Linked DNA regions of Elephas maximus indicus. The protein of the gene in region 2 interacts with the protein of the main gene of each other region in a pairwise test. Links are inferred from orthologs where the notes say so. Each region holds a gene or a part of one and is shown on either strand. Other genes may lie near its edges.

What was found.
Region 1: the proteins of C3H1orf216 (region 2) and ODAD1 interact in binary tests that used the Homo sapiens proteins (3 or more experiments, as listed by UniProt). The two-hybrid records come from large-scale screens. The link is inferred for Elephas maximus indicus from reciprocal best matches to the Homo sapiens genes C1orf216 and ODAD1.

The regions. Positions count from the first base shown.
Region 1 is NC_064829.1:98,657,807-98,664,695, reverse strand, and holds the start of ODAD1 (outer dynein arm-docking complex subunit 1), read left to right. Parts: upstream 1-3,875; 5' UTR 3,876-4,341; coding exon 4,342-4,456; intron 4,457-5,841; coding exon 5,842-5,941; intron 5,942-6,056; coding exon 6,057-6,246; intron 6,247-6,889. UniProt on the Homo sapiens protein: Component of the outer dynein arm-docking complex (ODA-DC) that mediates outer dynein arms (ODA) binding onto the doublet microtubule. Involved in mediating assembly of both ODAs and their axonemal docking complex onto ciliary microtubules.
Region 2 is NC_064821.1:77,046,237-77,053,916, reverse strand, and holds the start of C3H1orf216 (UPF0500 protein C1orf216 homolog), read left to right. Parts: upstream 1-4,658; 5' UTR 4,659-4,742; exon of another isoform or gene 4,743-4,766; intron 4,767-7,566; 5' UTR 7,567-7,571; coding exon 7,572-7,680.

The sequences.
Region 1 (6,889 bases), on a different chromosome or scaffold from region 2:
CTCTGAAAGCCTGCCGGGCCCCTCCCCTTCGCTTTCCCTCATCCACGCCCCAAGTGCTAAGAGATCACTTCTGAAATTCCAAGGATTTCCATGGGACCCGGCCTGGGGATGTCTATCCCCAACTGCCGCACTCCCCAAGTCATGAAAGAAACTTCAGCCAGAATAACGGACTGGAAACTTACCGAGAGCCGCGGAAAAAGTCAGAGTCGGAGTCTGCTCCCTCGCTAGGGCCTCGGTGCCCCGCCCTTCACCTCCCTCCTTCCACCCTCTGGAGGCCCCCGCCTCCCTCGCAGCCTGCCTCCCTCCCTCCCTACTCACTCTCCCCTCTGGCTCACCCTCTCTTTCTCCCCTTCAGTCTTGGAACTTTTGCTCGCTCTCTTTCTCCTTTTGCCTCTTGTCTCTCTTTCTCCTGTCCCTCCTCACTGCCCAGGCCTCCTTCTTTCTCTTCTCTCACTGTCCTGATTTCTCTTTCTCTGCTCCTCTCAATATATACTGACCCTTTTATACCCACCCTAGCCGCACCCAGCTGAGGTCTGCAGCCAGGGGGAGGGCCCAGATTCTTAGGTTCCTCCTTCTCCTGGCCCCCACCCGCTGCCCCCCAGATGGGTATCTCTGGGGCTGCCTCCCAGTGTGGAGATGAGAAATTCTCCCAGGGAAGCTTTGGGGTGGGGCTGGCTTCAGGGGCTGATTCTCAGGCCTCCATGTCTTGGCCTGGGACTGGATGTCTGTTGCTTGGTGGGGCTTGGGGCTGGACACTCAGAATGGAGGGGGTTCAGGGAAGGAGGCTGCATTCCGGAGGACTGGAATGAACTGGGGGCTGGTGGAGCTGGTACCATGATAGGGGAGAGGGGTCAAAAAAAACCAAACCCATTTCGGTTGGGTCGATTACAACTCATGGTGACCCCCTGTGTTACAGAGTAGAACTGCTGCATAGGGTTTTCTTGTGTAAGGAAGGAGCCCTGGTGGCACAGAGGTTAAGCATTCAACTACTAACTGAAAAGTTGTCGGTTTGAATCCACCAGCAGCTCCATGGAAGAAAGATGTGGCAGTTGGCTTCTGTAAGGATTTACAGCCTTGGAAACCCTATGGGACAGTACTCTGTCATAGGGTCACTACGAGCCAGAATTGACTCAATGGTAATGATTTTTTAATCTTTGTGGAAGTAGATCACCATGCCTTTCTTCCTCTGTGCTGCTGCTGGGTGGGTTCAAACCACCAACCTCCAGGTTAGTACACTTTGCCACCCAGGGACCATTGGCAGGGGCTACAGGGATGGAAAATGGAATATGTGAGACTCTGGAAGGTGACAAGAGTTGGAAGTTATGAATCTCAGCTCCATTATTTCCTGGCTGGTTGACCTCGGACCAATTATTGGTTCCTAATCTGTGAAGTGGTTATAATAAAGGCAACACTGCTAATGATAATAATACTGTAACGATCATTCTGACACTGTAATGAGTATTGAGTAAGGTAATAACCGTATGTTATCACACCTACCCATTCCTTCCTTCCTCATTTATTGTACATCTACTGTGAACCAAGAGTTTGTAATGAACAAAGCAGATTATAATGTTACTATGGAGTTTACCTTCTAGGAGCGGGAGACATATTATAAAGTGAAAACATACCAATGGACAGGATAGATTTCTGATCATGATAAGTTTGTTGCAGGAAATATAATACGTGTGATGGAGATTATGATGGGAGGCTGCTTATATAGGGTGATCAGGGAGGCCTCTTTGAGGAGGTGACGTTTGATCTGAGACCTGAAAACAAGAGTTATTTGAATGCTGGAGGGAAGAGGAAACAGCTAGCGCAAAGGCTCTTGAGAGAACAAGCTGGAGTTGTTGGGAGGACAGAAGACCTGTGTGGCTGGAGCATCGGGAGCTAGAGGGAGTGGTGGGAAGGAAAATCAAAGGGGGCCCTTGAAGGCAGTGGGTGGAGTTTGGATTTTTCCCTCAGTGCAGTGGGGCACCGTTGGAGGGTTTTAAACAGAAGGGTTACATGATCCGTGTAGTACCAGGGACTTAATGTTAATCGAATTTATTCTTTGGTTATTGATTTAGGATGGGGTGATGACTAGGTATCTAAGTCTTTTGCAAGGATTGGGTGGCGGGGACATGTCTAATGTGAAAAGTGAGGGACAAGGGACCAGGGATCTGGGATCCTGATGTGGAATTGTGTGTGGGAACTTGAATCCTGGATCCCTCCAAGGGAACTGCACGATTGGATGTCTGAGTGTCTGATGGGGCCTGGAGCTGGGACTGAAGAGAGAGTTGTTGGTCATTTGGGCTTCCTGGGGACTGGGGGTGGAGGATGGATAGTTCAGTGACTGGGTGAGTTTCTGCAAGACTAAGAATCTGGGATACCAGTATATCCAGACTGGCAGAATTCAAATCCAAGCTGTTTTAGTTATCAACTGTGTGATTTGGGGCAAGTTGCTGATAACCGCTCTATGTCTCAGTTTCTTCCTCTGTGAAATAGGGATAAAGATCATGGGGTGGCTCTTAGAATAGTACCTGGCACACAGTATACATTCTGTTAGTTATGACCAGGCATCTAGAGTACTGAGTGGATTCGGTACTGGGAGACCCTAGGTAAAGGGCCCCAGGATTTGGGGAAAAAGCAATTCTTGGTCCGTGAGGGAAGGCTAAAACTGGGAGTCCAAAATGAGGAGAGCTTGGAGGTGGGGGATGAGTGGTCCCAAACTTAAGTTCCTTATAAGAACAGAGACTGGAGGTTTGAACTTTGATCCTCAAGGAGGTAAGAAGGTCTGTGTTACTGAGGGAAAAATTAGAGGCTAGAGGGTCATGTGCCCCTCATGGAGTGCAGGGGAGGGGGGCTGGACCTGGATTCTGGGAACAGTGGGGGGACCAGGGACTAGGGTGATAACTTGAGCGGGAAGGTGGAGAATAGTAGGCTGGAGCCCCGAATCAAGTTCCCTGAGTGGAATCAGCACGAGACTTCGGTTCCCGGGAGGTAATGAGGGGTCCCCCATGTCAGGCGTCGGTGGAACAGGAAGAATCGTGAGGCCCGAGGGCTGTGGCGGAATCTCCCCCTCCTGGGCCTCCGAGCGGAGCTGAGCGCCTATGGGCCGCTTCCTCCCACAGGAAACCGCAGGCGTCGGGCACACCCAGCCTGCAGGGAGCGGCGCCCACAGCCTGCCCGCCCCGGGAGGCCCACGTGGGCAGCGGCCGGCGGCGTAGCTGTGTGTCACCAGACAGGGGGCGTGGCCGGAAAGCGGAGGCAGGGCGGAGCGCCCGAGGCCACGCCCACTCCAGCGACTACGTGCGAGGTCCCCTTAAGCGGCCCAGGGTGTTTTGCGGGTTCGCTTGAAGCCGTTAGCCGCGCATGCGTAGTGAGCGGCTGCGAGGATCTGAGGCGGTGGTGAGCGCCCTACCCTTCACAACTCCGGGCATCGGCACCACCTCTCTGCTAATGAATCCTCAAAATAACGTGGCCTTAATCAGCCTAAGACAGGCACCTCTCGGACCCTGTTCTGAAGGAACTCGGCCTAGCTCCAAAGCCCTTCCAGCGCCTTCCGGACGTTTTCCTCCCAACCCTGCCTCTCCCTCCCGGAAACACTCGGCCCACCCCTCACAGTCCCGTGCTTCCCAGACAGACCATCCCGACCTCCTCCAGGCCCTTCTAGCCTGAGCCCTTCCAGATAAGCCCCGCCCCTCAAGGCCCTCCTGGCCCCGCCCCTCAAGGACCCTTCCAGCCCCGCCCCTCAAGGCCCTCCCAGCTTATCCTCAGTGCCCTTCCGGCCCCTCCCCTCATAGGCCCTCCAAGCTCCGCCCGCCACCGGCCCTCCCAGCCTCACCCCTCAAGGCCCTCCCAGCCCCGCCCCTAATCGTCCGCCCAGCCCCGCCCCTTAAAGGCCCCCCAAGCCGCTCCCCTCATCGCCCACCTAGCCCTCTCCTCACCTTCTTCCCAGCCCTGCCCCTCCCAGAGCTTCCCCACCTACCTGTTCCAAGCCCCTTAGAGCCCCCGCAGGCCTTCCCCTTGGAGCTTCTTCCGCCCCCCCCGCCCTCAGCCTCTCCCCCTCTGCCTCGGTCCCTCCCTGGCCGCTGTTCCCAGGTCTCATTGGCCCCTCATCTCCCCAGTAACCAGACCACAACAGTGCGCTCGGAGGCACTGCGGCAGGTAGGTCAGGTACCCCACGGCTCGGAGACACTAAGAGCCTCCTGTCCCCAGCGCCAGGCTCCGAGCTGGGACTAAAGACATGTGCATGGCGGGGCGTCCGGGAGGGGTGGAGCGGCCGGAGCTGGTTCTGGAGTCACCCCCTCCCCACTCAGTCCCTCGCTCACCCTCTTTCGGCCCAGCCTACCCGCTGTCTGAATGGGTGCTGTGTCGGCCCCTGCAGGAGCCCCACCCTCTGTGGCCAAGATGCCCTTGGGACACTCAGCTGTGAGCACTCGCTCCGAGGAAAGCGAGGCCTTCCTGGAGGGCATGGGTAATTCATGCGTTTTTTCTTCATTCGCTCATTCTCTTCCCGCCCTGAGAGTTCCCGAGTTCCATGCCCTGGGGACAGGTGCGCCCTCTAGTGGGAAGTCGATCTGCTTCTAATGGAGAGGGGCCAACCTGCGAAGTGAGGTCGGCCTCAAAGTCTTCTGGCAGGAGGAATTTGAGTGGAGCCCAGAACTCCTCGTAGGAATTACCAGGGGGAGAAGGAAGGGGAGCGTGTTTCAGCAGAGAGAACAGCATGTGCCTAGAGCGGGGGTTCTCAGCCTTGGGATTCGACGCTTCTTCATTGTGGGGGGCTGTCCTGTGCTTAGGAGCCCTGGTGGTACAGTGGTTATGAGCTCAGCTGCTAACTGAAAGGTCGGCGGTTCCAACCCATCAGCCTTCCAAGGGAGAAAGATGGGGCAGTCTGCTTCCCTAAAGATTACAGCCTTGGAAACCCTGTGGGGCAGTTTTCTCTGTCTTGTAGGGTCGCTATGAGTCAGAATTGACTGGACCGCAACGGGTTTAATTTTTTTGTTTTAGTCCTGTTCTTTGAAGGATGTTTAGTAGCATCCCTGGTCTCTACACACTAGATCTCGGTAACACCTACTCCTCCGCCCTCAGTCGTGACAATAAAAAATGTTAGTGGGGGTAGGGGGCAGAATTGGCCCTGGTTGAGAACTACTGGGCTAGCGCAAAGTGCCTTGGGGTTGCAGACGTGGGTAGTCAAGTCAGGTGGGGCCTTGAACACGCGGGAGCTGGGACTTTGCTGGGGCGCTGGGGAGCCAAGAGAGAACTGTGAGTAGAGGGGAACAGGCCCTGCTCTGGGGCTGTTAGGGCAGGCCGGGGAGGGTGGGGAGGAGGCTGTGTGATGGTCCAGGCAGAAGATGCAGGCACTGGGCAGAAAGAGTGAGGAGACAGGAGGAGGGGGCCTAGGCTGTGGAGGCTGCAGGGGAGGGAGGGAGCGAGGACGGTGCCCGGGGGTCTGGTGGTAGCCGTGGGGGCCTTGGGGCCAGAGAGGCCTTCCAGGAGCGCCCTCTAGTGGGCAGCAGTCGAGTTCCCAAACCTGGGGTTGAAGCGGGTTTAACGGAAATAACTTGGAAACCCTATGGGGCAGTTGTACTGTGTCCTATAGGGTCGCTATGAGTCGGAATTGACTCGACGGCAGTGTGTTTTTTTTTTAACCCGAGGTCAGCTCGGAGAACAGAGAGTCTGAAGAGGTGGGGGGAGCTGGAGGGACACAGGAACTGAGATGCAGTCCAAAACTGGGGGGCTGGGTCTGCAGCGGCAATTTGTGGGACCCTTTTTTTTTTTAGTGGGCAGTGGGTGGAATGGGTTTAGACCAGAATGGGGGCCCAGATTCGGATCGAGTCCCTTTCCCGGCCCCGCCCCCAGTGGACTGGGAGCTGAGCCGCCTGCAGAGACAATGCAAGGTGATGGAAGGCGAAAGGCGGGCCTACAGCAAGGAAGTCCACCAGCGCATCGACAAGCAACTGTGAGCCCGGCGCCTGGGGCGCCTGGGTCCCCGGACTGGGGGGAGTTAAGGGAGTCAAGAGCTGGACTCGCGGTCTGAGCGATGCTGAGCTCCGCCTCCTTGCCGCCCCGGGCAGGGGGGAGATCCGGCGCCTAGAGGAGCTGCGGGCCAACCTCCAGGTGCAGATCAGCGTCGCCCAGAGCCAAGTCAAGCGGCTACGGGACAGCCAGCGGCTGGAGCGCATGGGCCACCTACTCAAATGCCGGGCCCAGGTGCAGGCCGAGGTGGAGGAGTTGCAGAAGCAGACCAGAGCCCTGGACAGGAAAGTGAGTTCTGAGCCCAGGCTCCTGGGAATCCCAGTTAGGAGCGAGCGGCCTCACCCCTGTGAGCCTTAGCTTCCTCATCTGAAAAATGGAGCAATGGAAAGAACCACCTGGTGGGCTGGTAAGGAGTCCTGGTAGTGTAGTGGTTAAGAGCTCGGCTGCTAATCAAAAGGTTGGTAGTTTGAACCCACCAGGGAGAAAGATGTGGCAGTCTGCTTCTGTAAAGATTACAGCCTTGGAAATGTGGCAGTTCTGTTCTGTCCTATAGGGTCACTATGAGTTGGGGTTGACTTGATGGCAGTGGGTTTTGGTTTTTTGGTAGGTTGGTAACCCACCTGGTGTTCGGTCTCCAATGGGAACATGGATGTTTAATGTAAAACACAGTCCCCGACATTCAAAACGAGGACTAGCATGGGGTTGTCATGAGCTGGAATTAACTCCACAGCAATTTTATTTTATTTTTTTAAATTAATTGTTAAGTAGGGTAGTCCTTATGGGCTTAAGCATAACGATTGTGTAGATGGCAAAGGACCAGGCAGTGTTTCGTTCTGTTGTACATAGGGTCGCTATGAGTCAGCACCAACTTGGCACCACCTAACAGCAACAACAGGGTGGTCCTTGGGTGGCACAAGCAATTTGCACTTGG
Region 2 (7,680 bases):
GTCAGGAGCCCTCTAAGACCACCTGGTTATGGGAGCCCGAGTTACAATGTTCACAGCTATAAAGTAATAATCTTCAAGGTATGTGCACACAGTGTCTTGCTTTAGCCTCCCCACAACACAGTGATGATAACATTATTATTATCATGTTTATTTAACCCATAAAGGCTAAAATTACTTGCCTAAGTTCCCAGAGCCTTGTAGGAAGTTGGGCTGATGATATGGGATCAGGAAAAGAGAAAAAACCACGTAGCAATAATGTTGTTTGTACTCCAGGACTAGATGTGTATGCTTTGTTGTGGTGTGGAATTTTTGGGAGGCTTCCTCAGTTATCTCCTTACTGCCCACAGGATGAGTGAAGCCCAAGCTGCTTGGAATGGTAGTCAAGACTTTTCACAACCGGGCCGACTTTAGCCTCCAGCCTAGCTTCCCACCTCCATTTTCCCCCAAGCTCCAGGCACACTGGCCACTCAACATTCCCTGAACACACTCTAATATGCAGTCTCCTCTGCCTTCTCCCACTGTCTCTTGCTGAGCTTCTACTCTTCAAATATCACCTCCAAGAAGCCTTTCCTTGCCTTCCTTTGTGTTCGTTACATTTGTCTTCTACCTCTGTTGCAGGACCCATCACATTGTGTAGCCCACTTTTTTCTGTGTCCATTTCCCTTTCTAAACTGGGAGCTCTCCGTGGCCATGACCAGGTTCAATACCTGGCACAATGTAAGTACTCTGTAACTGTGTGCTGAATGTGAACAAGTGGATGGAAAGGGGAAAGCTCTCTGAGGCTGAATCACCTTGATCCTTCCCATCCCATTCTTCCTGAAAGTATTGGCATTGAGAAAGTATCCACTTTATGCCTGTCTTACTGCCTGGAATAGAAATTCCTGTCATCTTCCCTTGTTTCCTTGCCTGACACCCCTGGCCCCTGGGGCTGGATCTGGCTACTCACTGCTAGCCTTCTTGATTCTAGTATCTGTCTGCTTGCCAAGACACCTACCCACCACCCACTGCTGGATTTTCAGGATGAGCTGGCTTGCTGGCACTGGCCACCACTGGTGATTTCTGTGTCCCTGCCAGTTAAGTCCCTGGCATGTATGTGGGTAGGTGGACAGGGCTACAGACACCCCTTCACTTGGGGTGATTGATTCCCTGGCATCATGACTGGGAAAGCCTATTGTGAATGAATGACAGACATCTGTAAATCTGCTTTTCTGTGGCTGTGCAGACATGGATGTCCCTACCTTCCCAGGGCTTTTTGTTCTCCTGGCTCCTACTTCTCTGAAAATCATGGCATAGCGAGGACCCCTGTCTGAGCACTTAACACATGAATTATGAAGTGCTAGAGCATTCCACACAATGTTGCCCTTGACTAAGAAGAGAGACCACAGTCTGATGCCCTTGAAGTTCATTTGTCTCAACACATATATGGTTATTTAGAAGCATCTTGCTTTATAACAAGGGAATGACCAATTGATGATTCAGCTTGGTGACAGCCAGGAAAAAATACCCGGTGAGTTTGGGGTGCTACTTGGCAAAGTACAATACAGGCTTTAACTCAACAATCAAATATACGATAGCTCTTCTCTCATAGCTACCATACATACCAAGAAGTGTAAGTGGGGGTGGCATGCTATGCCCACTAATGCACCTACTGACTCAAAGAGTTTGCTTCCTGTCTCTGAGATTCTAGGTTCTCCTTATAGCGAGGTTTAGCATCTAGGGGGAATGTTTCCACCAGGGAACACAGAAATGATACCACTGCCTTTCAGGTACCTCATAATATTAGATAAATAGAAGAGAAGGGGATCACAGTGTAGGCTGGGCAGATTATGGCTGTCAAGGGGGAATGGAGTCGCTACTACTAAATGAGGGCCGAGAGGTGCAGGAGTGGAACTCACGGGACCCCTGGGTTTCCACCTTGTGCTATTGCATTAACCAGGATTCTTTTGGTTGCCAGTGATGGAAATCCCACTCAGGTTAGCCTTGGCAAAAGAAGGGATTTATTGGAAGGTATACAAAACTACTTGGTAGGCCTCAGGAAACCAGGCCTAGAATGTCACCAAGACTTTTTTCTTTTATCTCTGCTTCTGTGTCAGAATCATTTTCTCCTACTACAGATTGACTTCTTCCACTCCGCAGGGAATATGATTGCTGCAGCCTTAGGCTCACATCTTCCCTGTTTTAATTTCATTTCAAAACGTCCCAGAGAAAGACTCAGACTGGCTCACCTGCACTGAGGTTCCTATCCCTGGACTCTTAGCTCATCACTAACCCATTTAACTCGTGTGGTTGGAGCAGGGAGAGCCAGAAGAAAAGGTAGGAGGCAGCTGTTCTGGGCAGGCCCAACAATTCAATGATCACTATCCCTCTGTGGTAAGGGAAGACCAGAACAACCGTAGACCACAAAAGGCTCAGGGCCCTCAGGAGTTAGAATCTGGGTCACCTCATAAAGAAGAAAACCCTGGCTAAAGGCAAGGAGAACTTGGAGTGAATAATGGAAAGGGAAGACTAGTTAAGCTTCAGAGTCCCTGGGTGGTGAAAACGGTTAATGCACTTTGCTGCTACACAAAAGGTTAGAGGTTTGAGCCCACCCAGAGGCACCTCAGAAGAAAGGCCTGGTGATGTACTTCCAAAAAATCAGCCATTGAAAACCCTATGGAGCATAGTTCTACATGGCGTCACTACGAGAACTGGACCCTATGGCAACTGATTTAGTTAGACCTCAGGACCTGATGTAGAAAAGGGGCTGTGCTCTCCATCTGTACTTTCTTAGCTGGGAGAGTATCCAAAGATTGAGTTACCTCTGCCTTTTCCTTGTCCCTCTTAAAATAGGATTTGTCATAATTTTTTCCTCTTCCATTCCCTCTGGAAGAATGAATAAGAATTAATCATAACCTGTTGCCATCACGTCGATTCCAACTTATAGTGACCCTATAGGACAGAGTAGAACTGCCTCATAGGGTTTCTAAAGCTATAAATATTTATGGTAGCACCACCAGGGCTCCTCCCGTAAGTACTACAGCCTAGGAAACTGTATGGGGCAGTTCTACCTTGTCCTATAGGGTCGCTATAAGTTGCAATTGATGACTTGATGGCACAACAACTTCCTTAACACCAGCCAATGCTTTTTGGTTTTATCATTGTTGTTGTTAGTTGTCATCCACTGGGCTCCAACTCATGGTGACCTATGAGACATTGCCTTATCCTGTGCCATCTTCATGATCGTTGGTATGTTTGAGTCCATTGTTGTGGCTGTTGCGTCAATCCATCTCACCGAGGGTTTCTCTCATTTTCACTGAACAAATATGATATCCTTTTCTAGCAACTACCCTTTGGTTGGAAACAGGGTCCCCATACCCTTTTTGAACAAACAAATCTCTCTTAGAGGAAGTGCAACCAGAATGCTCTTTGGAAGCAGGGATGGCGAGACTGCGTCTCACATACTTTGGACATGTTTTCAGGAGGGATCAGTCCTCAGAGAAGGACATCATGCTTGGTAAAGTAGAGGGTCAGTGAAAAACAGGAAGGCCATCAAGATGGATTGACACAGTGGCTGCAACAATGGGCTCAGGCACAGTAACAATTGTGAGGATGGCGCAGGACCCGGCAATGTTTCATTCTGTTGTGCATAGGGTTGCTATGAGTCAGAACCAACTGGACAGCACCTAACAACAACAGTAACAAATACCCTATACATTTTCGCCAAGGAGGAAGGGAGTGAGGGGAATCAGGCTTCATGAAGATGAGACTTGGAGAAGAATCCACTGGGGTTCGGAAACCTGTACTGGATACCCTATTCTACCTCTTCACCTGGGCAAAAGTACAGGAGCCCAAGAGTAAAAAAAAAAAAAAAATTTTTTTTTTTTTTGGAGGTAATTCCCCTACTTCGGAGGGGAAGCCATCTATCTGGGCTTGGTTGCAGGGCCTTAGTCCCAAGTTCTGCCCCAGAGTGGATTTTTTTTCTTCTCTTAAATCTTTCTTTAATGATTTTAATAATCACAGGATACATAATTTCAAATTGTGACAACTGCTATGAAGAAAAGGAATACAGTGACCAGAGAGGATATAAAAAGGGGAACTAACTGATCTAGGGGGTCAGAGAAGGATTCCCTGAGAAGAGCTCTAAAATGTGAGCAGATCAAAGAAGAAAGAGAATTTAAGGCAGAAGGAACAGTGTGCAAAAGCCGAGGGGCAGAAAGAAGCCAGGGGCCCCACTGTAGAGATGGAGGGCAAAAAATGAAGCTGTCCAGGCAGACAGAGCGCAGGACGCACAGAGAGCCCTGCGGCAGCCGCCCTAAGGTTTCCCCTGCAATGGGAAGCCATTGAACAGTTTTAGGCAGGAGTAGCAGTAACATGATCAGATTTTCATTTTGAAAATATCACTGTCTGCAGTGAGGTGAAGCAATCGGAGGGGCCCAGTGCCGTTAGACGATAAAATTGGACGTGGAAATCCTCAGTAAAACCAGCCCAAGGCGGGGGAAGGCGGTTCCGGCGGCCCCAGCGCGCAGCTCCACGGAAAACCGAACCGGCTCACGTGGGCCACCGCCCCGCCCCGCCCCGCCGCGCTGACGCCGCAGACACTGTAGCGAGGGCCTGGGGCTGGGCGTGCCGCCACGGACCCCGCAGCCCACGTCCCGGCCAGCGTGGACGCCCAGGCCGAGGGATCCCCAGCCCAAGTCGCCGACTTCCCGCCGGGGGTCCGGAGCGGAGCCGGAACCAGCCGCGCAGGGCCGCGCCTCTGGGCCGTGAGTCGGGGCCCGGGGAGAGAGGTGGGCTCAGCCTCGGGGAGAGGGGGCGTCGCAGCCTCGGCCCAGCTGCCTCCTTTGGGGAGATTAGGGAAGGAGGGTCGCTATCCTGTCTCCTGGGAGTAGCCTCCCTCTAACGCAAGGCTCGGCAGGAAGGGAGTCCTCCTCCAGGGTAGATTGCGAATTAGCTTGGGGAGAGGCTTGATCCTGGGGTGTCTGAGCTACTAATTTTGCCATCTCTGAGAACCCGTGATTATCCCCACCCCATCTTCCTTCAGGGCCCATCCCAGGCCTAAACCAAAAAACCAAACCCGTTGCGGTCCAGTTGATTCCGACTCAAAGGACAGACTCCTATAGGACAGAGTAGAACTGCCCCATAGGGTTTCCAAGCAGCGGCTGGTGGGTTTGAACGGCTGACCTTTTGGTTAGCAGCCTGAGCTCTTAACCACTGTGCCACCAGGGCCCCACCCAGGCCTAGGAAAAGTTTGAAGGAGGGAAGATCTCCATGCACCTTTCATAAGCTTTGCCTAGAGGGATTGGGGGTGGGGTAGGGAGTGCAGGTGACAAAGGAACTATCCCTACACCGTTCCTTCCAGGACTTCTGTCTCAGCTGGATGTGGGGAGGGTTCCTGCCACCTTTAGAGATCCTCCTAGTGCCTGTGCCACATACAGTATCCCTCACTCCTACTGATCCTCAGTTTTTCTAATCCCAGTAATGTGTGGTCAACAGGAACCTCTTTTCAATTCAAACCCTAATTTTGGTAGAAACCAGTTATTGGAGAGGAAAGAGTGGTGTGCCCTGCTTGCCCTCCTGGGCCTTGGGATGGAGCAAGCCAGGCGTCGGGACTCATGATAATAGACATATTCCAGGGGCACTGGGAGGGAAGGGGGCTCTCAGAGGAGAGCTTGTCAAGGAGTGGGCTCCCTGGGGCAGAGGAGGGAAATGGACACAGCTCATCCCGCACTTAGCAGTCAGTGTTAACCTCCTGTTACCTGCACCTGGGAATCCCGCTGCAGCTCCCTCTCCCCAGCTCACTCACTCAGGGAGTACATACTGACACCTGCTAAATGCCAGGCTCTGCACTGAGGCCTGGACGTGTAACCAGCTGCCAGTTGCCATCTAATTGATTCTAACTATGGCAACCCCATGTGTGTCAGAGTAGAACTGTGCTCCACAGCATTTTCAATGGCTGTTTTTTTTTTTTTTTTTTGGAAGTAGAGCACCAGACCTCTCTTCCAAGGTGCCTCTGGGTGGACTTCAACCTCCAACCTTTCTTTCAAGTAACAGCTAAGTGCATTGACTGTTTGCACCAGCTGGTGATACAATGCAGAGTCTATCGAGGAGCTCCCACTGTAGTCCAGGAGCAAGATTTACAAGGTATTATTGTTTGGAAACCCTGGTGGCATAGTGGTTAAGTGCTACGGCTGCTAACCAAAGGGTCGGCAGTTCGAATCCGCCAGGTGCTCCTTGGAAACTCTATGAGGCAGTTCTACTCTGTTCTATAGGGTTGCTATGAGTCAGAATCGACTCCACGGCACTGGGTATTGTTGAGCAATAGTTAAGAGCTCAGCTGCTAAACAAAAGGCTGGCAGTTCAAATCCACCAGCTGCTCCTTGGAAATCCTACAAGGCAGTTCTACTCTGACCTATAGGGTCACTATGAAGTGGAATCGACTTGATGGCAATGGGTTATTTACAACATAGGTAAAAAAAAAAAAAAGTTGAATAGAGATTTACTGACCATCAGCCATGTGCCAGTGACAGGAAACAAACATGGATAAGACAGTGTATACCCAGGGCAATGGGGACCCAGAGGAAGGCATAGTTAAATGTGTGCATGTTTTTGTGTATTGGGAGGAGTAGGGGAGAATTATCAAGGAGGCTTCAGACAGGTGGGGATATTAGAGCTGAGCTTTGAAGTGGAAAAGGAGGGGCTTAGAGGGAAGGAAAGAGGAAGGGTATCAGAAGCCAAGGAGAGTAATGGTGTGTTTTGAGATTTCTGAACAGTTTAATGGGATGTGAGGGGCAGAGTGGCAAGAGGCAAGTGTGGAAGGGTGAGTAGGGGCTGGATCAAGCAGACTTGTGTAGGCCATATAGCAGTTTAGCAGGAGTTTAGTGACAGCACGTAGAGCTGTAAAAAATCAAATTTACATTTTTAACTACAGGCAGAGAGACCAGTAAAAGGGCCGTGGCAGTAAGAAGTTGTGGGTAAGAGGTAACCTGGATCAAGTGAAAGTGAGAGCAGATACATGTACATAAACACACACAAAGTTTTAAGAGGAACAATCTACAGAATTTGGTGGCCGATTAGAAGGGGGTAGGAAGAAGAGTGAGATGTCTAGGATGTTCCCAGTATTCTGGCTGGGGTTATTGAATGGCTAGTGGAGCCGTTTGCTGAGGCCACTGAAGAGGGAGAGCTGGTTTGGACACACAGAATTTGAGGAGCCTGGGGGATGTCTAGGTTGCAGGATCGGATGGCAGTTGGATCTGAGGTGGAGACAGATTTGGGAGTCACCAACGTATGGATGGTTCTTGAAGCTACAGTAGAGGATGAGGTCATCAGGGGAGACTGCATAAAAATGAGAATAGAAGGACACCTGTCTCAGAGGGCTGAGGACACCAGTGTTTAAGGGATGGGTAGAGGAAAGTCTATGCAGGAGACTGAGAACAGTCAGAGAGGGTGGGGGAAAACCACAAAGGGAAACGGACTGAGAAGGAGCAGCCAGGCTCATGCTTACTACCTCACCCCAGCAGCTAGGTTGGTGTGACTTCAGGCACCCCACTCTGTCTTTCCGTGACTCATTCTTCTGCTTCCCCCTTACAGACCAGATGTTTGCCATCCAGCCAGGGCTAGCTGAGGGGGGCCAGTTCCTGGGGGACCCACCTCCTGGGATATGTCAGCCCGAACTCCAACCAGACAGCAACTCCAACTTCATAG